Linked DNA regions of Sus scrofa. The protein of the gene in region 5 interacts with the protein of the main gene of each other region in a pairwise test. Links are inferred from orthologs where the notes say so. Each region holds a gene or a part of one and is shown on either strand. Other genes may lie near its edges.

Region 1 (3,500 bases), on a different chromosome or scaffold from region 5:
ATTTTCAAGTAACAAATTTGTATTAGTGTTACATTTGTTTGTAGCTTTCAGAGATCATGTCATAATGTAATATTTTGTCATAATGCATTATTTTACTTTGTAATATATTTAGCCCAAAGCAGTGACAACACCAGCACCGGCTACAACTCAGCAATCAAATTCTGCCACCACTACCACAGTTAGTTCCTCCACAGCACCAGCTGCGGCTCAGGCCCCAACCCCAGCCCCTGCTTTGGCTCCTACTCCCACTCCTGCATCCATCACCCCAGCATCAACGACAGCATCTTCTGAACCTGCACCTGCTAGTGCAACGAAACAAGAGAAACCTGCAGAAAAGCCAGCAGAAACACCAGTGGCTACTAGCCCAACATCAACTGACAGGTAAGAACTGGGTGTTAGGAAGTTGTATCTTGGAATATGTTCAGTATAAGAACTTCATGAATTTATTTTGATTGTTTTTTTTTTTTTTTTTTTTTTTTTTGGTCAAACTAACTTTCTGTCTACTATGTTAAACATTTTCTAAACTCTGAACTCCTGACTGACTAAAACATTATGCCTCTGTTTAAATTTCCATAATCTAGATTTATATACTCTGCATCATTTCCCCTGCCGCCCTCCCCCTGCCCCCTGGAGGGAAAAGAGAAAAAGGGTCAGAGTTGTTATTCATTTCATATACAAAAGTTAGGAAATGACCAAAAAAAGAAGTATATGAGTTCCCCTGTGCCTCAGTGGGTTAAGGATCCAGTGTTGTCACAGCAATAACATGTGTTCAGTCCCTGGCCTGGGAACTGCTGCATGCCACCAGTGTGGCCAAAAAAAGGAAAGAGGAATTATGACATTATATTATAGCTTGGCATAAATAACTTGACATCATCCCCCAGTCATTATTTATATTGATCTATATTATTTCTGACCATTGTCGTGTATATATATATATATATATATATATAAAATAAACATCCTTCTATGTCAGAATTTTTCCATCTGCTACATAGTTTTGTGTTTGGGGATGACATTTGTTAGATCTTAGGAAAGAAATTAATATCTTTGGATTTTCTTCTTCGTCTGTAAAATGTGGATATCAGCAGGACTTACTTCATGGAGTTGTTCTAAGGATTAAATAATAAGTATGAAAGATGTGAAGTAGCGCATGGCACACAGTAAATGCTGAGTATATTTTTTTGTGAACTTGTGTAGAAATTTATGTTTTTGCCCATGTAGCTCTTCAGAAACAAAAGAAAAAGTGCTGGGACATTTTGGGAACAAGAAATAAGTTCTTGTGGGAAGGTGGCAGTTAGGATTATTGAGTAATTTATGACAAAGATTTTTTCCCCCTAATGATAAATAAAATAACCAAAGCAAATGCTTCAGTTCTCCTGGCTGGAAATCGTACAGGGGAATCTCTTCTATCTGAGAGCATGAATTGTATTCTTTCCAGAGTGAGCTGGCACCGAAGCTGTTTGTGTTTTATGGCTTTGGTGTAGCACAGGACCTCAATGGCAGTAAAGTCCTGGAATCAGAACCAGACATAGTGGAAAACTATGCAGCAGTTGGAAACATGGACACAGAAGGATGTCTGTGATAAATACACCAATCAAAAAACTTCAGTCACGATCCTTCATTTTAGTGTTTTGCCTTTGAGTGAGGTTGCGTCAGCTTTGTTGAGAGGGGTTTGAGTCACCTGGTTCATTGCTCACTCAGGCCTCTTTTCAAGGAATTAATTGCCTAAGAGGAGAACACGGATTCAGGTGATAAAATATTTTCCCTGTGTCTGCCTGCTGCACTTTGCTTTAGGCATTCTGAGACACCATTGCCTAACTTGATACTTCTTGCAGGTACAGCTAGAAATGCACACAACACTAATTACCTAGGGGGAGACAACCCAGGGTCAGGTTATGCTATTACATCAAAAGGCTATTACATTTGTTCTGTGTCTGGGAGGGAACTTATAAATTTAGCAAATTGGTTTTCCAAATCATTTAAATATTGTAAACTTAATTAAATATGTCGAGTTGGTTCAGTATATCTTCTTTTCTTTAAGCTCCTGTTAAAAACCTCATATCATGAGAATTCCTGAATTGATCAATACCTTTTAATGTGCTAATAGCATCAATTCGGTTATCATCTCTTATTTCTTATTGAGGGTTCAGTTTTATTTACCTGTTCTCAAGCATCATGAACCTTTTCAGACCTATAGAGGTTGCATAAGGGAGTTGATGATCAGGAAAGCAGACTGCAGAGTTGCCTCCTTACTTGAGCTTTGTACACCATCCCTTTACTCTTATTCCCCAGAGTTATACACCTCAGAGAAGGATAGCACAGGAAGGGAAGGATGAAGGAAGCTCAGAAAACTAGCTGCTTAAATGTACCTTAGTCACTTCATTTGTGCTGTAAAACATTTAATGTCTTGTAAAGCACAGAACTCAATGAGACATGCCAATGTGAATTTGAGGAGTGTCAAGAAGTTTTTTTTACCACCTGGCCTGACATTTCATTGTTAGGGATTTGTTTCTCTAGGTCAGTTTTGTCTTTAAAAACCACCTATTACAATGCAGATTTCACTTGTTGATATCTGTGTTAGAGAAACTGCACTTTTTTGCACTAGGGCTGTATTGTTTGTAATTGAAGACAAATTGGAATCAACCTAAAGATCCACTAATAAGGGAATGGCTTGATTTTGTGATTTGTTCATATTGGGGAATTGTGCTATTATTCATAGTGTGGTAGTAAACAAACAGTATCAACATCACAGGGAGTTTGATGTTTGAAATTAATTCTTAGGCTCCCTAGAATTATCTGGGGTAGGTCCCAGAAGTCTGAATTTTAACAATCTCTCTTGGTGAATTCTTAAGCTTTCTAAAGTTTGAAGAGCTCTGATATCCAGTAATAGAAGGCAGTTAAAGTATGCAGTACATATTTCAAGGCTTTGTTACCAAGTGAAAAAAGCAGATTTGCAGAACAATACAGGCAGTAACCCTAAACCAAACAAAAGCCACATAACATCATTGCATATTTTCTGTGGTTAAGCATATTAATATGTAGAAAAACAGTAGCAGAGGGACAGCACACTAACTGATAAAGTGGTTTCCTCCGCGGACAGGGAAGGGAGAAGTATTGAGGCAAAAGAATCAAGATTGAAGAATGGTGGTTAAACATCATTTCAGTCTTATCTGTAATGTTTTAAAAGAAATTCTAAAACAAAGTGCAAAAATAGCACAAATTTTCTATAAAAGAACAGTAATGAAGGGGACTATTTCTGTGAGATAGAATTAATTATTAGTACTATACATGGTGATGATTACAACTTAGAATGGCTTTTGGAGTTCCCGTCATGGCGCAGTGGTTAACGAATCCGACTAGGAATCATGAGGTTGCGGGTTCGGTCCCTGCCCTTGCTCAGTGGGTTAATGATCCGGCATTGCCGTGAGCTGTGGTGTAGGTTGCAGACGCGGCTCGGATCCCACGTTGCTGTGGCTCTGGCGTAGGCCAATGGCTACAGC
Region 2 (3,500 bases), on a different chromosome or scaffold from region 5:
ACCCAAGTCAGTGTTGTGGCTGGAGAGAAGCTGGCGGAATTTTTCTAGGCGGGTTTTCTCCCGGACAGTCATCGGGGGTGCCCCAGAGGCGTTCTGGTCTGAGATCCGGGCAACGAGGGGGATGATGGGTCGGAGAGGGAGTGACTGCTGTTTGTGGAGTGGGTTCCTCAGGCACGTGTCACCTGGGAGAATGTGATAGAGAAGGAGAGTAGGCTGGGTGCAGGTGGCGATCGGGAGACCCCACACCTGACAGTTCAGCACGGGCTCTGCGCTGCCCGAGGGGGCTCATGTGGGGCAGCTGGGGATGGAAACCCAGCCAGCTCCACTTGCCTGCCCAGGGCCTGAGTGGAGTGAACGTTAAAGCAGCTGACTCGTAGAGGGTGAAAGGGAAGCAGTTGGTCAGAGCCCTTTCTCGTCCACACCAAGGTGCCTCGTGTGTCAATGGAGACCACAGCGGCTGTAGCAACTTTGACTATGTTTTTGGTGACTTCGGGGGAAAATGAATCATTTTCTTTCTACCCTAACCTGGAACTTTTCTTTGGGGCAATGCAGTCAAAGGCAGGGCTGGCCTTCCGTTCACACATCACAGAGCGCATGGAAAAGAAGGACACGGTGGAGCACACTGCAGCACACGGAGGCAGCTGCTCGCCCCAGGCGGCTGCCCCAAGGGCAGAGATGCTCAACATCTGGCACAACTCTCACCTGTTCTTGGCCCACCATGTACCCTGCACACCAGGCCAGAGGCTCTGGCCAGGGGCAGGCCCGCTCTGAGTGGCTGCGGTTCCTCTGCACGCCTACACTTCTCACCAAAAAAAGCCAGCTTTTAATTCTGCCGGGATGTGATTGAAATAACAGGAACACAGACTCAAGCTGAACTCTATGTCTGGTTTGGAAACTTCTAAACTAGACGGCAGGTAGAGAAATGAGCAGAGGACTGACATTTACTGAACGCTTAATATGCATAAAGAATCATGCTAGGAGTTCCCGTTGTGGCTCAGTGGTTAATGAATCTGACTAGGAATCATAAGGACGCAGGTTCAATCCCTGGCCTAGCTCAGTGGGTTAAGGATCCAGTGTTGCTGTGAGCTGTGGTGTAGGTCACAGACGTGGCTCGGATCCCATGCTGCTGTGGCTCTGGCGAAGGCCGGTGGCTACAGCTCCAACTGGACCCCTAGCCTGGGAACCTCCATGTGCCGCGAGTGCAGCCCTAAAAAAAAAAAAAAAAAAATCATGCTGGTCATATCCACACATGACCTCTCATTTGGTCCTTACAAGACTTGGTAGGAGTTCCCCACTGGTTTAGAGAGGAGGAAACTGCAGCTCAGAGAGGTAAGTAACCTGTGGGGAGAGCTGGGACAGCACCTTAGCTCTGACTCTAAAACCCTTCTGTATTTTACTACTCCCAACAAAACTCATGACTGTCCTTTCGTGACTCATATTCTTTAGGCATTTGGGCCTTAAAAAGCAGTAGTCACAGCAAGAATTAAACAGTGAACACTCCTCAGCCAGCACAACTAGGTTAACAGGAACAAGAGCCACATAGGACTTGGCTTGGATCCCTGGTGCTACATGGGGCCTGGGAGACGCAGACCACACACCACAGAGTGAGGCCGACCTGCACCTCCGGAGTCAGGAGTCACAGACAGGTGTCCACAGGAAGAAGCCCTATAACGGGAATGTTCTGGGCGGTCTGGCTGAACAAGGGCAGCTCATTAGGGACCATGGTGGGGTCTTCCTTATACTAGGACCCTCTGGAGACCCTCAAACATGGAGTGAGGACACTTCTTGTAGCCTATAGCTATGGCCACATGGTCAACAGACCCTGAATGCCTGCAACGGGCACAGCGTGCAGGTGGGGCCCAAATCGGTGATGGAAAGGGACTATGGAATGATCGGAAAGGGTCTTACAGCCTAATTTCACGACCACAGCCTCAGTCCAAAACTGTAAAAGCAGCTCTCTCACAACGTGAGCCGGGACACACTCTAGGGCTCTGACCTCCTGCGTCCCTTTCAGCCTTTACCAGTCAGCTGCTTTAACTTTCACTCCGACGAGGGCCCTTCCCTCTCAGCGCAGAATAACTGGCTTTCATAAAACCCTGTAGGACAACCTTAAATACAGCAATAATTTAAGACTCTGACATTTAACAGAGTACACCGAGCAACCCCAAACATCTGATAAAACCACCATCATCTCAGCCAGTTACTGCTGCCAGTTTCCTGAGAAAAAGCAGAAGGGGTACCTCCTCCTCCTGCCCCACCCAACCTGGTGGGCTGGGAGCTGTGACACAGGGACCCTGTTCCTCAGGAACAGGAAAAAGACAACCTGAATGCTGGTGGTTGTTCTCCACAGCTGAGGAGGTCAACCAACAGAGCCAAACATGTATGAAATTCAGCCACTAACAACTTGAACTGCATTTCATGGGTATTCTTCAACCTGACCAGGACTAAAACAATGCGAAGCAATCGAACCACAAAAGTTTGGACCCCACCGCAGGGAAAGGAAGAAGAGAATGGCAGGCAACGGTGGGTGTCAGGAGGTGAAGCCCCAGGTCCCAGAGCCAGGCAGCCATTTGGGTGGGGGTGGGAGAAACAAGGCCAGCTCATGACCAGTTAGGTTCCCTGACATCACCTCTCAGGCCAGAGCTTGCTTACTTATCATCCAATGCAAGATCTGAGGGATGTTCTAAAGAAAAATTGGTTTTACTTAAAATCTACTCTGCTGAAAAGGTGGAACCTATGGAGGGGAGCAGGACGAACTTACTGGAATTTCTGGACAGCTGAGCATCACTGCTGGACTTTATGACCTTGTAGCTGGCCGGAACATCGGATGTTGTGGACTGGGACCGTTCTGGTTTCACCCTCAGCTTGCTGTGGTTTTCTAGCACTTGGGCGGCAGTTGCCAAAGCAACTTTTGAGTTCACAGTTTGGAAAGCAGGGGAGGAAAAGTCCTCTTCCTCATCATCGCCAATGTCCCAAGCATCGCTGGTGTTCCGGGCAAACTCATGAAAACTGGAAGCCTTCTTACTCTTCAGAGGAACCGTGTTGACTTTTGACCGCTCTTTAATGAAGCTTTAAGAAAGGAGACACCGTTACCAAGGGAATGGTCTGACACATCTTAACATCAAGTGCTTAATATAATATCAATAGCATCACAAACTGTCTCATGCACACTCATTACCTTCTTCAAACACAAAATATCCACATCTATTCCTCACCCAGGCCAGCCCTATGCTGCAGAGACAGACGAAACTAAGACACCGTGCTCTCCAAAGAGTCCGCGTGCCCTTCTACTCCTCCCAGTCCCTTGCGCTCAGGTGAGCCTGTATGATTGGTTCTGGCCAGTGCGCTGAGGAGAGAAGTGAGGCAGTCACTTCCAAGCCAAGGGACAGAACAGGTGTGAGTTCTCCAGAAGCTCTCCTCTACTGTGATCACTGGAGGGGCTCCAGAGGGTGGTGCCTCCCTCAGCTGGAAAAAAGAGTGACTATGGGGAGCAGAGCCTG
Region 3 (2,775 bases), on a different chromosome or scaffold from region 5:
GCATGTGGTTTGCTGGAGGACTTGGGGGTTTCTCTGAGATCATAACTGGATCAATGACTTGATTTTTAAGATGTAACATGGAGAGTGTCACTTTATAGATAACTCTAAAATAATATTCTGTCTTGGTGCCTTAAGCTTTCTAGCCGAAGGGAAGGTGGGAAAAGAAAGCTGATGTTATGTGTGTTTTTAATACTATTTCACATCTCCTAGATGAGCACCATGCCTGGACTCCCTACCCGGCCCTGTTTCTATGACATCGATTTGGACCCTGAAACTGAGCAGGTGAATGGGCTGTTCTAAACAGGTGAGCTGTTACTGGTGAAAATTTTGCTTTTTTCCCTCATGGGGCATATTTATGAATTATAGGACTCCCAACTAAAACTATGAAAATGTAAATGTAACGCTTGCGGAAGATTCCTTTCCAGACATATCTGAGAGGAGAGGGGGCAGTAATGAGAGTTGGCAGTAACTGATGAATGAAATATTTATATTTCAATATGCTTTTGGAAGAACACAGTTCATCACAGTTTGGCAGTATAGGGGAGAATAAGCTTGGGAGGAACCACAGTGGAGGTTAGAGCTCCTCTGTAGAGCCCCAGGAGGCTCCAGGCTTGGAGTCGATGGCACAGTGGAGGGCAGAGCTCCTCTGTAGAGCCCCAGGAGGCTCCAGGTTTGGAGTCGATGGCACAGTGGAGGCAGGAGCAGAAGATCTGGATACTCTGAATAGAGAGTTAGCCAGAAAGTGAGTAAACGTCCTAGAAAATAGAAAAGGGCCAGTTTAGGAGTTCCCATCATGGCTCAGCGGTTAACCCATCCACCTAGAATCCATGAGGACACGGGGTCAATCCCTGGCCTCGCTCAGTGGGTTAAGGATCTGGTGTTGCCATGAGCTGTGGTGTAGGTTGCAGATGTGGCTCAGATCTTGCATTGCTGTGGCTATGGTGTAGGCCAGCAGCTACAGCTCCGGTTCGACCCCTAGCCTGGGAACCTTCATATGCCACACACGTGGCCCTAAAAAGACAAAAAAAAAAAAAGAAGAAGAAGAAAGGAAAAGGCCAGTTCAGGAGTTCTTGGGCTCTTAAGTGAAGGGCCCCCAAGTACTCATCATAATGAATGAGCCACCCCTGGATATAGCAGGTAAAATTTCAAAACCATCCATGATGAAAATCCTTCTCCAGAGAAGAAAAAAATGACTTGCCTATGGAAAAAAAAAGAGAGAGAGGATTAGACTAAACTGTCTTCTTAGCAGCTGTAAGAGACTTTTAGACAATGGAGGAATGCCCTCCAAGTTCGCAGGGAAAGATGACTTTCCACTTGTATTTACACCCCACCAAACCTATCCAGATGTTTTCAGGCACGTATAGGCTTGCCACCCTCACATCTCTTCCCAGGAAGAGATTTAGCAGTGTACTCCAGCAAAACGAGGACCAAACCAAGAAAAAGGAAGTCATGGTTTTTCAGGAAAACTGTCACTAGAGTCCTGACAACTGCAAGTGACCCAGAGTTACAAATCCAACATGGAACAGGAGGAAGAAGAGGTACTGAGAAAGACTGGAGAGAGCTGGGAAGACAGAGGTGTCGAAATGTAATAATGCAAAACAAAAGCTCTCACGTTAAGGAAGTAGAAGTCCGGGTGGATGCAAACCACAGGCATCATCTATGCAACTGTAAGGATAAGTTGCTCATGGAAGCCACTCTGCTTACAACGCAGAGACGATGTGCTTGATGCTGGAGGAGCAGTGTTGAAGAGACATGTGACCTTGGAAAGGTCCTCCTGGCTCATGATCGGTCTGGCATTGAACAGTATTTACACAGCCATGATGCAAATGCTGGGCATTGTTTTCAGGTCTATGAAAGGCCCTAGAAGAGTTGGCTGTGGGAAAGGATGTCAAGGTTAACAGCTTTGGCGGTGGGAGAGGGTGATGGTGCAGCGTGGAAGGGAAGTATTATTTCAGCACTTAGAGAAAACCTGTATTTCTTGTTTCTTTTCCCTTCCAGATTGTCCAGCTTCAGGAAGCTGCTTTGAAGGTTTGGCCAGTGTTTATTCAGGCCCCCTGTCAGGAAGTGTGGGGAGATCAGAAGTCAGTCCCTGCCCCGAAGATCTTCAGAAATAAGTAGTGGGAGTTTCCCCAGAAGCCTTTCTTCAGTCTTACTTCCCATCATCATGTATAAATTAGCATAAATCACACACATCTTTAATTACTAAATCCATAGAATAAAAGCACATAATTTTGCAGCCCCCGTGTTCAGATGTAAATTGTAGCATTAGCAGACTGTGCTGCCACGTTCTCTGCTGTCCCAGGCGATCCATGCACCAGGCAGACCTCTGGGACTGAAGAAGCAAATTGCGGTCTGTACTTTATGGTACTGTTGTGTTTAAAGGGGAAACTGTGAGTCTCTGTGTATTTCTGGGAACACATGTAATCAGGAGGCCTGAGAGTGTTGAGGGAGAAGTAGAGTTTAGAGGATGTGCCTTTTCATCATATACTTTGCTGTGTTGTTCCATATTTTTTTTCCCCTGGAAAAGTATTGCTTATACAGGTTTTTGTTCTGAACTTCCTTGGAAATTCCTTTTCCTGTCATAGCTTTAGCACCATCCCTTTTTTTTTTTTTTTTTTTTTGGCCACTTATATGGCACATGGGAGTTTCCAGGCCAGGGATTGAACCCATACCACAACAGCAACCCCAGGCCATTGCTGGATCCTTAACCCACTGCACCACAAGGGAACTCACTCACACCATTCATTTTTAAAGTCCTCAGTAAGGATGGTTGCA
Region 4 (3,994 bases), on a different chromosome or scaffold from region 5:
TCCTAAATTAACCCTAGTTGTCTATTTAAAGTTTTCCCTCAAAATGTTACCACCAAATTACCAAAGGATTTTTTTTTTTTTTTTTTTTTTTTTTTTTTTTTTTTTTTACCTTGTAACAAGTACAAAATAATCCCTAGGGATGTACAGTCCTCTCTGCCTGCCACCCTGTCCCTTAAGTTTCCTCTAAGATGGAATATCATATTGGGAACTTTTCTGCATATCAATATCACATCTTCTATTACATTTTCTTCTGTTAAATTCACCAATGTGTATGACTAATTCTAAAAGCTGTATCTCCTCAATCTGTCGCCATTTATGACTAATCATATAATTTATAAGAACTCTTGTCAAATTCTTATCAAAAACTATGTTATCAACATCACCACAAGTAGCTATTTCTGCCTGCTCACCAAGAATCATGTCCCTCTTTCTTCCAAAAATACCCACTGCTGTGTACATATTCCACCCTGTCCCCTCATATTATTCAAGTACTTCAGAAGAAGATGCCCCCATACACACATCCAAGAGTAGCCCACATTCCTCCAAGGTTAATGCCAACTCCCTTGTCAGTACGTACTTATAGGAACACAAGCCTAAGTCAGTTAACACATGTGTCCCTGGCCACAGGGACTGAATGACCAATGAGACTCATGAGGGCTACGCTGGGCTTCCTTACTCTGGACAGATAATTACAGAAAGAAATGTTCTTGGCTAGGATGAGTTGGATTTTCTATTATTTGGGACAAAAAGCATCCCATCTGTTTAACAATTTTAAAAATGCACTGGTTGAGGATTTTGACCACCATCAATTAATGTATTTATGAACAAATGTAACCATTTCTATGAAACCCACAATCCTTTGACTAATACTGGACTTTCCATATTTGGAGAGATTGTTGACTTTGACAGTTTGTGGTATTTCAAGAGAGGTACATGTGGAGGAGCGAAGGTTAAGGAAAAGCAGTCATTGGAGAGCTTCATGTCACAGCCACATCATAGATCAAATCCAGAAAATGCAAAAATACCCCCATGTTTTCCTATCTGCCAGACCCGACTCTGCTCAGGTCTATATTAGGAAAATGATGAGCATCCTGATCCAAGGAGAACTCTGAGTAAGGGTGAAAGCATCAAGACTGCCATTACTATTTTGAAGGTGTTAATGAGTATTTCTTACAAATACCTGCAAACTGAAAGCAGTCTATAATTGCTAACAAATAAAGAGACAATATCGCCAAAAATAAATAACTTCCAGGGCACAGAAACATCTTACTGGCCTAACACAGACCCACCCTCATGGCTGTAAATAGTACCCTATTCTGGCATTTGCTTCTTACTTTCTCTTACATTGTTGGCCTTGCTGATTTTCTTAAGAAGGTTTAGGCAGTTGCTTCCCTGTGGGCTCTACAGCAATTTTCCAGTTCTATGACTCAGAAAGGGCAAGAGAAGAAAGGGCTCTCTCCTCTTCCATCCCTAGGTAAAACCAGAAAATGTTTATTTAGCTCTGATAGAGCAAGGCTCAGTTAGTTAATTCACTGTACAGACTTTCACAAACTTTTTTCTCTTTCAAATCAAATATTTACCAAGAGCTTGTATATGTAAGTCATAGGCTATTATTTATCCAAAGCCAATGCATGAATTATTTTTATCAGTTTCATACTTCCGTCCTCTTCTCTACATCTCTAATTTCAAAGTCAAATATTTTGAAGAAAAAATATTTATGCCTCACAAAATTTGCAATTAAACTTTTTGTGCCAGAATTGGTGGACTGAAGAGCAAGTTTGTTATTTCCAAAATAGTCTGTCGACACAAAGGTAAGCGACTCCACTTTTCTTAAAAATTGGTTTTCAAATGATGTGTGCTAAACTATTTATTAAAATGGAAATAGCCTGTGATAATAGAAGGAGACGAACAGCATCAATGAATTTATAAACGTTATCTGGAGGCAAAATCTGCACTGCCTACCAGGTTTGGCCAGAGACCGCAAAACTGTTAATTCAGAAACACTGAAGGCGTGGAGTCTGCATTCAGACCATAAGCCATGGATCGCAAACACATATAAGACTGGTTTATACTTATTTACTGCTCCGAAAAAATTTAATGATCCTTTCCGACGACATGGCCTCTTTGATTTTCTTAATTCTGCAAACTACCCTTAAAGCAACCTTATTTGGGCGGGGGGGGGGGGGGGACACATTTCATACTTGAGAATAAGCCAGGGCAGGTAAGCCAAGAGCCTCCTAAAGAGGACGGAAATACGGACAATGCCGAGGATGGCCAGAAAAGCGATGGGCTGGCCCTGAGCCCAGGGAGCACAGCTGGGACGAAGGCTAGGCCGCCTCCCCGGGGTTCCCGGCCAAGACCCCAGGACCCCCACCCACCACCAGGAGCGCAGCGCGCAGCCCGGGATAGCCGGGCCTGGGAAAGTTCGCACCTCCGCATCCCCGCCCCTTGCACTGACGAGCTTCTCCAGCCGCGGCACCGTCGCCACGGCGACCAGTCCCCACCCCACCCCCACCCAGCCTGGGGGCGCCGCGCCGCAGTCCCGCGGCGGCCTCGGGCTCCGCTCCCTCCGAGTCAGGACAGGCGCTGCCGAGCCCGGGAGACGAGGAACGCAAGGGGCGGGGGAGGATGAAGAGGTGCGAAAGGCGGAAGTCGTTCGGATCCCGGGCCGGGGCCGCCTCTTGCCCTGGGGGTCCTCACCCTTCACTTTGCCGAAGGTCCCGACCCCCAGCGTGTCCCCCAGGATGTAGTGGCCGATTTTCACCCGCCCGTCGTGTTTCTGCTTCTCGGCTGTCGCCATCTTTCTCCAGGAACTGAGTCTGCGCATGGCGCCGCGGGAGGGGGCGGAGGGGGCGGGCAGGGCCGCGCCGGGGGCGGGCGGGGAGGGGGTGGGGACGCGGGAGGGGAGCCGCGCCGCCGAGCCGCCGCCCTACGTCGCTTGCTGGGTCCCGTCAGCCAACAGAAGCGCGCAGACGCTCCCCCTGGCGGGGCAGGCAAGGGTCGCTAGGAGGGGCACCGGTACCCCTTTCCTCGCCCTGCGTCCTCGAGGCCTGGGGCTCCATCCCACCTGCGCGCGGGAGGGGGCTTCCTGGCTTTCTGAGGAGGGCAGCAGCTCTTCTGCTCCTTCTGCTTAGGCGGCGTCTCTGCCCGCAGTGGTCTCGCCTAATTACCGCTCTTGGTTTGGGGGGCCCGCTCTTCAAGAACACTGGAGAAGTCTGCTCCGGGCTTGTTACTAGTGGATTAAAACATGGCAGGGGACACCGCCCTGCCACTGCTTTCTAACCTTTAATTTTTCCTGTTCGGATGGAATCTAGAAGCCTCTAGGAGTTGTCAGTTGCATCTTTGATGAAGTTCCCTCTTCTTCCACTACATCCCCACCCCTGCTGGTCTTTTTTTTACTTTGCGCCAGTAAGTTGCTGTTTGGGCACCTCGACAGCTCAAGCAGCATTGTGGGTCTTTCCTTCTACTGGATTCTCTCCCGCAGTGTCCTCCCCGCAACAAGCTCTATTGGAAGGAGCGAGTTGGGGATAAGGGTGAATGTGTGTGTGTGTGTCTGGGAAGCAGGATGTTACCCAACACGTTCTGATGTATAGCAATTAATATTTTAAGATTATCAGTAAAATGTAGACCTTGAACTGAAAACAAAGCTTACAGTTGCATCAACCAAATCAATCAACAAATATTTATTGTACTTCCAGTGAGTAAGAGTTTATACAATGGGGTCATGGCATATCACAGGGGAAGTAGAGAAAGTATGCGTATTTGTAATAGAGTTTTTAAGTGAGTGTAAATAATTGTAAATTATTACTCTAACATGGGCGAAGTCAAGTGTCAACCAAAACAAAAACCAGTTTATGTGATCTCAGTTCTGCCGGGTCATAGCATTTGGGCCAGTGTCAATGGACAAAGAGTTGGACTCTTCATGAAAAAATATAAAAAAGGAAAAGATGTTCTTTTTCCATCCCAATGAAAGTTACTCAGCTCTTCTGATTTT
Region 5 (4,151 bases):
GGGTGGGGCTGGGGTGGGGATGGGACATGGGAAGAAATGAGAGTTGGTGGGAGCAGGGGTCTAACTTCCGTGGCGGTGGGGCTTGGTGTGAGGGGTTGAGCTTAGGTGGGGTGGAGCTTAAGATGGAGTTTGTGCCTCAGTAGGAGTGGGACTTGGCAGTGAGTTTGAGATCCGGGTGGAACTGAGGAAAGGTAATAACCTGCCCTAGCACTGAGTACCAGTTGAGCAGTTTCTTGTATTCCAGTACCAGAATACTTGTGGGCACCTCTGTATATAGAATTGGCATAGGCAGAGCAGCAGCATGTCAGCCAGAACCATAGCAAAATACCTGTGCTTGGCCTTGGACAGATCCAGTGAAGCAGTACCCACCACCCCAGGACCAGAAACTGCCTGACTGGCCAGATCCCCAGGGCAGGCCTAGTGTTGAGTGCGGGTGAAATCCCCTCATCTGCACTGTGAATGGGTCCCTAATCAGATGGTAAATAGCTGGGAGGTGGGCCTGTGTTGCAGAGGCTTCTGTAACCCTGATGAAAAGCAGGAGGGGCGGGGTTGCCTGCCTGCCAAGGGTCTGGCAGAGTAAGGTCAAAGCCAGGGTGAGCATTGTCTGTTTCCTACGGTGTGGTACTGGAGACCCTTTTGGAGTCCCTTTTCTGTCCTTGCTTCTAGCTTCTACACAGTTTGAAACTAAGTTCTTTTTCAGTACTTGATCCTTGCTGCCCACCCCCCCCCATTCCCCTCCCTCTTCATGGGTTGGAGGCCAGTGACATCACCTGTTGCTCCTTAGCCTTTCCGCATGACACCCCCTGTGAAACCCGTAGTCCACATGCTTCATCCATGGCAACACTGCAGCTTGTCACACGTTCTCCATACCCACCAGCTTCAATGCCCTGTGCAGCGCTCCAGCCATCTTTCTCCTTTGTCAGGCATATCCTGAGAAAGGAGGGAACGCCACATCTCTGTCCTCTAAACTTTGCCCCAGCAGTAAGGGTACCAGGTGCCCTGGGCCTGCACAGCCCCGAGCCAGGGAGTGGGACAGCCTCTGGTCTTCTCCTAGTTGGAGAGCTTTGAAAGTGTTCCCAGGCATTAGGCCCCACCTCCTGAGGCTGGATTTTTCACTGCAGGCACTTCCAGCACAGACAGTAGGGTCTTCGGACTTTGAGGACGAACCCACGGCAAGCAGAGGTCAGCAGGGAAAGAGTGAGGTGGGGGGAGCTTGGCCTGCAGAGACCCCTCCACCAAATGACTGGGGGAGCCCTGTGAGGCAGAGAATGAGGTTCTGTGAGTGGAAGTGGGGGCAGAGGAGGGGCTTTTGGTGGGGATGGGAGGGTGGCCATTAATGATGCTCTCACCCCATTCACATTATAGGCTGTGGAAACCCAGGACGATTCTGCCTTCATATTTGGCCTTGACTTGCCTGAGTCCTGATCAAACTCTGTGAGCTGGTCCCTGCACCTGGTATTAGATCAGTTCATAGAAAGTGGGAGCAATGGCTGTGACACTGTTGGAGGATTGGTGCAAGGGGATGGACCTGGACCCCAGGAAGGCCCTGCTGATTGTGGGGATCCCCGTGGAGTGCAGTGAGGCTGAAATTAAAGAGACCGTGAAGGCAGGCTTACATCCCCTGTGCACCTACAGGGTGCTGGGCAGAATGTTCAGAAGGGAAGATAATGCTAAGGCAGTTTTCATTGAGTTGGCTGATACTGTCAATTATGCTATGATTCCCAGAGAGATACCAGGAAAGGGAGGTGCCTGGGAAGTGGTTGTGAAACCCCGCAGCTCAGATGATGAGTTTATGAATAGACTCAACTACTTCCTGAAAGACGAGGGCCGGAGAATGGTAGATGTGGCCAAGACCCTGGGATATAGCACTCCCACTGAGGGCATGGAGCCAGAGGCCTCGGATCAGGTCAGGTCACCAGCCTTGCAGCCTCTGAAAGAAAATGTGTGGTACCGAAAACTCAGAGTGTTTTCGGGAAGCACTTTCCCAGGCCCAGACGAAGACAGCTTTGAAGGCTGGCTGGAGCACGTCACTGAGTTGATGCAACTCTGGCAGGTGTCAGAGGTCGAGAAGAGGCGCCGTCTGCTGGAGAGCCTTCGCGGCTCTGCCCTATCTGTCGTGCGGGTGCTCCGGGCCAATGATGAATCTATGACCGTGGAGCAGTGTCTGGACGCCCTGAAGCAAATTTTTGGGACTAAAGAGGACTGCAGAACCTCACAATTTAAGTTCCTCCAGACCTTCCAGAAATCGGGAGAGAAAATCTCTAGTTTTTTGCTACGGTTAGAGCCCCTGCTGCAGAAAGCCGTGCAAAATAGCCCCTTGTCCGTGAGAAGCACAGACATGATTCGCCTGAAACACATCCTGGCTCGGTCCTGCATGAGCACCAGCCTCCGGGCCAAGTTAGAGCTCCTGGATCAGCGAGGTCGTGCTCCCACTTTCCTCGAGTTAATGCAGGTCATTCGAGATGAAGAGGAGTGGGAGGCCACCATGGGCCTGACGAAGGAGAGGCAAGTGGGGAGGGGCCGCAGGGCCTCCGGCAGGCCGGTGCTGGTGGAAGCCAGTGTCCCAATGCCTCAGGTCGTGGTGCAGACGGGGCCCTTTAACGAGAGCAGCACTCAGACCATCCAGGAAGGGATTAGCCTGTCCCTGAAGCGCAGGCGCATGTCATGCTGCTACGGTAGTGGGGAGGGAGGCCACAGCCAGGCAGCATGTCCTAGCGTGGAGAACCAAGCTCCAGCAAACAGAAGCCTCAGTTTGCAGCAGCAGAGTCGGGAAACGAGATGGGGGCTGGGGCAATGAGCCACCCCGAGCCCTAGGAAGCGTAGGCTCAGTACTCCAGGCACCCCTTCCCCTAGCAGGCAACTAAAATATTTTAATGAGATGAAGGAGCAGCCCACACCAAGAGCGGGGGACTTGAGGGGGAGAGAGTGGCAGGGCAGCCAGGCCCAGGCCGAGCCCCCTTGTCTTCTGCCAGCTCAGAGGGGCTCTACCAACCAAGCCCCATGCAGCCCAGTGAGGGCCAGTCAGCACAGGGCCTGGGAGAGGCACTGGCAATGCAAGCAGGGGGCCAGCACACTCGGCAGGTGGGGTGGCCAAGCCTCGGAGAGAGACCCCAAGGCAGAAGAGGCTGAAGAAGGTGTGGTGGGGGGCTCCGGCATGGACCCTGGCATCTGGCCACTCCTTAATGCCCAGAGGGTAGGCTCTGAGCTGATGAAGCTGATGGGCCCCCAGGCCATGTGGGGCCCAGGGGAGCCTCCCCCGGGGCCAGCCCTTCTGGAAGGAGCCAGCGCTGGTGAGGAAGAGCTGTGGGGCGGAGAAGAGATGCCCCGGAGGGGAGCCCGCAGGGTCCAGCCCGTCTTCAGGATCATCTACACCGCTCTAGGGGAGCCCCAGGAAGGCAGCACCCTGGAGCCTCTGCGCAAGTGAGGGGAGGAGACCCAGAGGCCCTGGGAGCCCAGCACCAGCCTACAGGCAGCCTCCTCCCCCTTAAGCTGGAAGGGCTGTGGGGACAAGGTCAGCAAAGTCTGTGCGGAGAAGGTCTCCGTGTCAGAGGCTCAGCTTGAGAGGCAGGGTGCAGGGTACCCTAGTGGGCACAGCTGCTTTGGTGCGAGTGGGTGTGCAAGCGCAAGGAAACTTTAGTTCCCAAGCAGGAGCAGGAGGGAGAGGGCGGGGAAAGAGGACGGGGAGGAGGAAGAGGAGGGGTGGGAGAGTGGAGGAGAAGATGCAGGAGGAGAAGGAAGAAGAGGGAGGAGGATGTAGAAAGAGGAGGAGGGACAAGGAGGGGAGGAGACGGGAAGGAGGAGAGAGGATTGGTGGGTGGGAGGGAGGGGCGTTTGGTTCGGTTTGATGTCTGTGCCGCTGGAGACCTGGGACTGGCCTGGCAAATCACCACTCACCAGCTGCCTATGCCAAAGTCAGCCCCAAAGCCTGCAACCCAGGCAGCCAGCCTAGGTGAGGGGCACCCGAAGACGCCTGCCACCCACACTGGCCCCGGAGACCTTAGGGGCCGTGTCAAGGTGCCTGGGCCTCCCTGTGCTGGGAGCCCACCTGTGTCTCTGTAGCCCCTCGTGACCCACGTATCAAGGCACCCCGCTCCCTGCTCCCCTCCCCTCCAAACACGCACTGACCTTGGTTCCCCTGCAGAGCCCTGAGG
Region 6 (3,500 bases), on a different chromosome or scaffold from region 5:
ATTTCATGCTCTTTATTATTTACCAAAGTTATCACTTACAAACCTTTACTGAAATTTTCATGGTCCTTAAACTTTTTCAGTGGCTTTTTTTTTTTTTTTTTTTTTTTTTTTTTTTTGCCACATCCAAGGCATGCAGAATTTCCCAAGCCAGTGATCAAACCCACACCACAGCAGTGACCAGGGCTGCTGCAGTGACAACACCAGATCCTTAACCCTCTGTGCCACAAGAAAACTCCCAGTGACTTTTTTTTTTAATTAAAGAATTGAGTTTTCTTTGCAATCAAGTCATCCATGTTTCTGGTGTAGAATCACTTTTCCCCTGGGATAAATTTCTGAGACACGCAGAAGTGGAAGAGGATGGAAAGAGATAGGAGATAAGAATGCCCAGGTGCTTCTGCCAAATGATGCTGAAGCACCTCACCCTCATCACTGAAATGAAGAGTGAAGGGTTGATGTTAATACTAACAGCCAGTCAGATGGAGTAGGTCATGTTATATCGTCTCCCATTCTACCCTTTGAGAGTATGTCACTTATTTTGCCAGCAAGTTTTGTTTGCCTATTCCAGTCTACTTCCTATGGCAGAACCAGCATTTTGAGTGACTTTCATGGCCTCCTGCTGGGACTGGGATGATGATTTTTGTTTTGTTTCGTTTTTGGTCTACTTCTCACTCTCTCTTTCTCTCTTGCTTTTTCTTTATTTTTGTAGCCCAGCGACATGTCCTCACATACATGGAAGATGCGGTATGCCAGCTGCTAGAGAACAAGGAAGATATTAGCCAATATGGCATTGCCAGGTTCTTCACTGAATAGTAAGTACGTGAGTGCTTTGCCAGTAGGGCGGGCCCAGAAGAGGCTTTAGGAAGCAGCCAAGATATATGAAAAGTAGAGCAGGGCAATGCTGATTATGTAGTGGCAGTGACTGCTTAGCTTTGGTAGACTGGTTGAGGGCTGCCCAGACATGTTTTGGAACGTGCCTTTGGTGCAGCTAGTTTTGTCCAGTGGTAAGTCTCATGAGTGGACATAACTGCAGAAGCTCGACTGCTGGTTTGAGCTATTAAATCTGTTTCCTTAGGTTCCTCTTATAATTTTTAACTTTTCCCATTATTCGGATAGTCACTCTGATTTCCCTTCGTCATTGTTCCTTTAGTCTATGTTTTTCTTGGCTGATTTTTTTCATGGAAATGCTTCGGATGATATTCCTGTGCAGTTTTCTTTCTACAGGATATTGTGCCAGTCATGTAATGATTTAAGACTATTTCTAGAGGCAGGATACCTTCCATAGATTATATCTTTGAGAAGTTGTACAAATGTAAAATATGCTTGGAATGTGTAAAAGTCAAAGTGATTGTTATTTTCAATTTATTAAAAATGTTTTTTCTGTTTCGTTTTATTTTGTTTTTTGCTTTTTAGGGCCACACCTGCAGCATGTGGAAGCTCCCCTAGCTGCTACAGCTGCTGGCCTGTGCCACAGCCATAGCAATGCAGGATCCGAGCCACATCTGCGACCTATATCACAGCTCACAGCAATGCCAGATCCTGAACCCACTGAGCGAGACCAGGGATCAAACCTGCATCCTCATGGATACCAGTCGGGTTTGTATCTGTTGCACCACAAGGGAAGCTCCTTCACGTTTTATTGAGATGTAATTGACATACAACACTGTGCACATTTAAGCATAGTGATTTGATTTACATGCATCATGAAGTGATTGTCTTTTTTTAGAGCAAGTTTTTTTCCCTTTAATACTCAATTAAATAGATAGTTGTAGGTATAAGTTTTGTATGTACATAAATCTGGCTGAGGTGTTAGTTGGAGGCTGGCTTTCTGGTCCTCCTCATTTTTCTGAGACTCTTTCCCATTTTAAAGTTGACTTTGTCAGGGATAAAGTTTACTAATGACGATGTGTAGTAGGCCAGTGTGGTGCTCAAGAGCTTAATTCCTCTAGGTTTTAGCCCAGAGTTGCTTCAGCTCTCTCTTATGTGTCTTGGATCTCCCATCTAGGACACCACGGGTGCTCAGATCGTCAAATGGCCAGTTCTTATTCATGTCCCTGGTTGAGCTTAATTAACAAATGAGTTTTAATTAATGTTTCCCTGTGGGACCACTGCACATCATGAGGACTCCACCGCCCCCATTAGATCTCTCAGTCACCTGAGAAAACTGTAATCAGCCAGGAGGAGTCTGATCCCTTTTCTTCGGAGCAAACACTCTCATCTAATACCTTCACCTTTATCCCAGCAAATTTCATTACAGCAGATGAATTAAGGAAAAGCATCAGATCAGCCTCTTACCTAAACACTCAGTCCAGACCCCTAAGTCTCTTTCAACTAAGCAAGCTGAGGGTATTTTAGTCATTGGTTTATAGCCATAAGTTGACTAGTCACCTGCGATCTTCCCCAGGGAACTGCCTGATGGCGTTTCAGAGATGTTTCCCATATTGGCTTTATTTTTCCGTAGCTCACAAAACTGAGGTCTAGGTTAGAACCTCTGTCAAAATCTTTCCTAGGTTATCATCAGATGGATTAAATATTCGAGCACAAAACTGAAAGCAAAACTGAATCCTCACCAGCCAAAAGGAAGCCACAGAATTACCAATGGGATCTCCTGAAAGGAAAATCCTCAAATGGGAATCAAAGGTTCTCCAGACAGACAATGTCCAGGGAGCATGCTAAGCGGTTCCAAATTGGCTTCCAAGTCCCACTGAGCCCAGGACCTTAGTCCAAGGGACTCCTTACAAATAGGATCTCCCAAAAAGAAAATTCCCAAATGGGAACCGAAGGTTCCCCAGATGGACAAGATCCAGGGGGCCTCAGAGTGCATGCCAGGGGACTTACCCAGATGCTGGCAGAGGTGTCACAATATCCCAGATGCTACTTTTCTCCTTCCCAAAAAAGTTTCTTGAAGTGGAAAGTTTGGGTTGGCAGCAGAGGGAAAGGAAGGAGATCCCTGCAGGCTGGTGGAGCCTCAGCAGCTGCTAGGGTGGTCCTTGCCTTCCAACCACATTTCCAGCCTAGAGTTCCAACTCCCGAGATGGCCAGTCAGGTCTCTTCGGGGGCCCGGCTCTGTGGCAGGAAACTCTCAGTGATCTGGCCTCCAAAAGAGTCCTCTGTTCACCCAATGGGATACTGGTATGGAGAAAAACTTCAGAGCCTTTGATCAAGCTGAGAGCCCTGAGGGGCCGTCTGCCCATGGCAAATCCCAGACGAGCCCCCAAAATTTGTTGCTGAAGCCTCCGTCTGCTGGTGCCAAATACAAACTCAGAGACAGAATTTTGAGTGAAGGAGGAAAAGATAGCTTTATTGCTTTGCCAGGCAAAGGGGGCCACAGCAGGCCAGTGCTTAAGGACTGTGCCCCCATGAAGTGATTACAATAAGTTTAGTGAACATCTATCATCTCATATAGATACATAATTAAAGAAGTAGAAAAAAATTTTTTTTCTTGTGGAGTTCCCATTGTGGCTCTGCGCGTTAAGAACCCAACTAGTATCTATCAGAATTCA
Region 7 (3,500 bases), on a different chromosome or scaffold from region 5:
TTGATTTATGGTTGTAGAGGTAGAATTAACTAGAAAGAGGTAATAATATAAACTAATTCTACTTGAAGAGCGAACACAAATTCCTAGTTTCCAAATGTATATTCCATGAGTTGTAGATATATATATATGGGAGGAGGGGTGTTTCATTGATAGATAAGTGTATGAACTGCTAGATTAAAGTTTTAAAATTTTTTATTGTGTGCAGAAATCTCAGAAACTTCAAGATTCAAGTATACCAAGAAATTCCAAGAGTAGGTAGTGTGAAGCAGTCCCTAAAGATATTTGCCTAAGTTACCTATCTTTGAGTGATTAATTGTGAGGACAGAGTCCCAACCTTCAGGAAAGGTTTAAACTACTGTACGGATAATTTCTTAGTAATGGTTTACTAGAGTAAATGGAGAGAAATCTCCATAAATATTTTCTTTTAACATTAAAAAATGCTGGGTTAATTTTGGCTAAAAGTATGAGTAACATAGGCTGACTTGTGTCTCCCCTAAAATTCATATGTTAAGGTCCCAACCCCCTCCAAATATCTCAGGATGTGACTGTGTTTGGAGATAGGGTCTTTAAGAGGTAATTAAGTTAAGATGAGCTTAATTAGTGTGGGCCTAGTGATGGCATCCACAAAAGAAGAAGAAATCTGGACAAAGATGCACAAAGACAATATGGAGACACAGGGAGAAGACAGCTATCTGTAAGCCAAGGAGACAGGCCTCCAAGGAAACTAGCCCTGCTGACACCTTGACCCACCTCAGACTTCTAGCCTCTAGAACTCTGAGAAAATGAATTTCTGTTGCTGAAGTCCCCCAGTCTGTGGGCAGTTAGTTCTGGCAGCCCACACAAACAAACACAGTAACCACTGGTTTTGCTATTTTCCTTTCCCTCCTCATTACTGTCTATAGCATTCAAAAAATCTCTGGATTCCTCTGGATTTTTTCTGACCTTACTCTTTGTGTTCTCCTTGGTAGGAAATTCTCTTTTTCCCAAACACTCTCTGATGGACTCACAGGTTTTGGAACCAATTTGAATTGAGTCTCTCTGTGTAGAGGACACATCTCTGAAACCAGGAAGCTTAAGGTCCTGAATAACTCTAGCTTCCAAAGCCTCCTTTTGAGGTGACAAATTTTGCTTCCTTTTCAGAGTACTCAGTTCCTTCATGGTCATCTCTAATTTTATCCTGAGTTGTCTTGCTTCCTCCCTGGCACTGTTCCTTTCAGCTCGAACTTTACTCCACTTTTCTCTCCAGTTGGCAGTGCAGTCTGACCACCACCGCATGGTCTTCTCCATCTGAGCAGCTCTGGCCTTGACCTCCTCCAGTTCCCGCAGTCGAAGCTCCTCACAAATATCCCATTCATTACTGTTGCATGAGTGAGCACAGACGTTGTGATAGGCATGAGATTGCAGCCCATAAAGTGGCAAATAGGGACCACAGGTGTCCCTGGGGGATGAGGCAGGCACCACCAGGTCACATGCTGGTTTAACTGATGACTGCTGCCTCTGGAAGATTTGTGTTTCCTCAATTAACCGACGAATGGAATCTAAATTCATATTTATCTTTTCAGGCCTAAGAAAAGACAGAGAACATAATTGCATTCGAATTTCCCCTGCAATTATAAGAGCAAGACCGACATTTAAAAAAGGAAGTTGATGAAAACAATGTGTCTTTTTCAATATTGTATATTTCCCTTCCCATTGTAGCTAAAAATATAGAGGAATTTCTGCATTTGTAATTACCCTCAAAGAAACAGAGATTTCTCCTATTTAAATTTGCCAAATAAATACAAATAATATATAAAGATGCAGCGGGGGATAGCATAGGACATGAATAATTCATTTCAACATATCCAGTTCTTTTCAGGTAATATTTATTGCAACATATATTGTCCATTAACTTCTCAATGGTCCCTTTTCCCCTGCTAACTAAAGCCCAATTTGTTCAGGTAGAAGGCAGAATCTATTGATCTTTGGAAGGATAAGCTCCTATTCCAATCCCAGGGGCTAAATTATGATTGGTCTAAACCTTTCGGATAACCTCCATTTAATTCATCATTCCTAATAGATAATAAATAGGTTTAAAGCAGCATGTGACCTGGTTCGGACTGATGAGAGGTCAGGGGAAGTCTGCTAGAGAAGTCTCCCATTCAGAAAAATGTGAAATCATCAGACTGAGAAACACTTTTATTTCTGCTCTCCTCCTGCCTGATCAAAGACAAGATTCTGCAAGAAGGTAAATGTAACAGCCACCCTGTAACATTAAAAATAGTGAAACAGAAGAATGAAAAAAGCTTTGTGTAATGATGGAGCTGCTGCCTGAAAGATAGAATCCATACCCCTGGTTTCCTTGCTGTGTGAGAATGATTACCTAAATTTATTTAAGCTATGACTGTTGAGTTTTCTGTAACTTGCTGTCAAAATGACATCTGACACATAAATTAACTTCCTACTGTGGTTAGTATTTTAAGTTCTAAAAATAAAATATTATGAATAAGACATGATCTGTGTCCTTAAAGATTTCGTAGGCCAGTGAATGAGACAGGCATATCACTGGTGTGTACAAGATACACTAAGGGGTACTGCTAAAGAAGTGATGAACTGTTTTAGAGAAACAAAGTAGCTTCACAGACAACACTGAAAAGAGTCTCAGTAATTCCAGAGCTTTAAAAAGGAATTAAAAGCAGCTTTCCATATAAATAGCAAAGACAAATTAATTGGTAAATGCAAACCTTTCTTATCAGTATGTACATCCATCACTTTATTCAATATAGCAACATAACTATATTGAGGATTAGCAAGTGGAACATTTTCTTTAAAATAAATTCTCAAAACATGCAGGTTAATCTACAAATTAATAAAGTTCTGTGGTTGTATAAGATTACCCATTTTTATTATCAAAGAGTTTCTGGTGTAAATGATCTTAGATAACATTTTACCTTCATGATATTAACTACTCCCATTTTTTTTCCATTTCCTTTTATAGAGTTACAGATCATAAATTGTCTTTTTATGAACCATCCATTTAATCTACTGAAGGGGTTTCATTATACCAACTAAGTTAACTGCTATTGACTGAAAAAAGACCATATAATATTAAATGTATACCACTTTCAGCTGTGGAAAAACACATTTTAGTAAGTGTTCTGTAGGGATGTCAAACCAATTCACTCATTATAATACTTAATATAATAATATAGATTCATGGTTGTAATTATTTTTGTTAACATTAGTTTATGTCAAATCATATTTGAACTAGTGCTGACTTGGAGCAATTATTCCTTTCATTTACTGTAATTCAGTGACAATAATAATATACTGACCAAATTTCTCAGACCACTAGTAAACCAAGACCAGTATTTTAAAAAAGAGAAACTCTTAATTAGAAGCATACCAAATATTATATATTTATATTTACATATTTCACTACTTAATAACATATTTCTTTTTGTTGAAATTTCAAAATGAAGATAGGAAATTTATTTCAGTATATTAAACTGAAATTTATC

What was found.
Region 1: the proteins of PNMA5 (region 5) and RAD23B interact in binary tests that used the Homo sapiens proteins (3 or more experiments, as listed by UniProt). The two-hybrid records come from large-scale screens. The link is inferred for Sus scrofa from reciprocal best matches to the Homo sapiens genes PNMA5 and RAD23B.
Region 2: the proteins of PNMA5 (region 5) and TBC1D22B interact in binary tests that used the Homo sapiens proteins (3 or more experiments, as listed by UniProt). The link is inferred for Sus scrofa from reciprocal best matches to the Homo sapiens genes PNMA5 and TBC1D22B.
Region 3: the proteins of PNMA5 (region 5) and ZBTB25 interact in binary tests that used the Homo sapiens proteins (3 or more experiments, as listed by UniProt). The two-hybrid records come from large-scale screens. The link is inferred for Sus scrofa from reciprocal best matches to the Homo sapiens genes PNMA5 and ZBTB25.
Region 4: the proteins of PNMA5 (region 5) and PRKAA1 interact in binary tests that used the Homo sapiens proteins (3 or more experiments, as listed by UniProt). The two-hybrid records come from large-scale screens. The link is inferred for Sus scrofa from reciprocal best matches to the Homo sapiens genes PNMA5 and PRKAA1.
Region 6: the proteins of PNMA5 (region 5) and C2H11orf49 interact in binary tests that used the Homo sapiens proteins (3 or more experiments, as listed by UniProt). The two-hybrid records come from large-scale screens. The link is inferred for Sus scrofa from reciprocal best matches to the Homo sapiens genes PNMA5 and CSTPP1.
Region 7: the proteins of PNMA5 (region 5) and CCDC102B interact in binary tests that used the Homo sapiens proteins (3 or more experiments, as listed by UniProt). The two-hybrid records come from large-scale screens. The link is inferred for Sus scrofa from reciprocal best matches to the Homo sapiens genes PNMA5 and CCDC102B.

Annotation. Positions count from the first base shown.
Region 1 is NC_010443.5:248,468,491-248,471,990, forward strand, and holds part of RAD23B (UV excision repair protein RAD23 homolog B), read left to right. Parts: intron 1-112; coding exon 113-381; intron 382-3,500. UniProt on the Homo sapiens protein: Multiubiquitin chain receptor involved in modulation of proteasomal degradation. Binds to polyubiquitin chains.
Region 2 is NC_010449.5:32,866,678-32,870,177, reverse strand, and holds part of TBC1D22B (TBC1 domain family member 22B), read right to left. Parts: intron 3,070-3,500; coding exon 2,762-3,069; intron 183-2,761; coding exon 3-182; intron 1-2. UniProt on the Homo sapiens protein: May act as a GTPase-activating protein for Rab family protein(s).
Region 3 is NC_010449.5:88,531,455-88,534,229, forward strand, and holds the end of ZBTB25 (zinc finger and BTB domain-containing protein 25), read right to left. Parts: intron 2,237-2,775; exon of another isoform or gene 1,999-2,236; intron 756-1,998; coding exon 575-755; 3' UTR 501-574; downstream 1-500. Other genes in the region: MTHFD1 (C-1-tetrahydrofolate synthase, cytoplasmic), read left to right, coding at 211-300. UniProt on the Homo sapiens protein: May be involved in transcriptional regulation.
Region 4 is NC_010458.4:25,780,682-25,784,675, forward strand, and holds the start of PRKAA1 (5'-AMP-activated protein kinase catalytic subunit alpha-1), read right to left. Parts: upstream 2,801-3,994; coding exon 2,701-2,800; intron 1,471-2,700; exon of another isoform or gene 1,335-1,470; intron 1-1,334. UniProt on the Homo sapiens protein: Catalytic subunit of AMP-activated protein kinase (AMPK), an energy sensor protein kinase that plays a key role in regulating cellular energy metabolism.
Region 5 is NC_010461.5:123,997,551-124,001,701, forward strand, and holds PNMA5 (paraneoplastic antigen-like protein 5), read left to right. Parts: upstream 1-1,384; 5' UTR 1,385-1,486; coding exon 1,487-2,797; 3' UTR 2,798-3,651; downstream 3,652-4,151.
Region 6 is NC_010444.4:15,558,127-15,561,626, reverse strand, and holds part of C2H11orf49 (UPF0705 protein C11orf49 homolog), read left to right. Parts: intron 1-706; coding exon 707-809; intron 810-3,500. UniProt on the Homo sapiens protein: Regulator of the tubulin polyglutamylase complex (TPGC) that controls cytoskeletal organization, nuclear shape, and cilium disassembly by balancing microtubule and actin assembly.
Region 7 is NC_010443.5:153,888,097-153,891,596, forward strand, and holds part of CCDC102B (coiled-coil domain-containing protein 102B), read right to left. Parts: intron 1,565-3,500; 5' UTR 1,549-1,564; coding exon 943-1,548; intron 1-942. UniProt on the Homo sapiens protein: During interphase, forms fibers at the proximal ends of centrioles to maintain centrosome cohesion. During mitosis, dissociates from the centrosome following phosphorylation to allow centrosome separation. Contributes to CROCC/rootletin filament formation.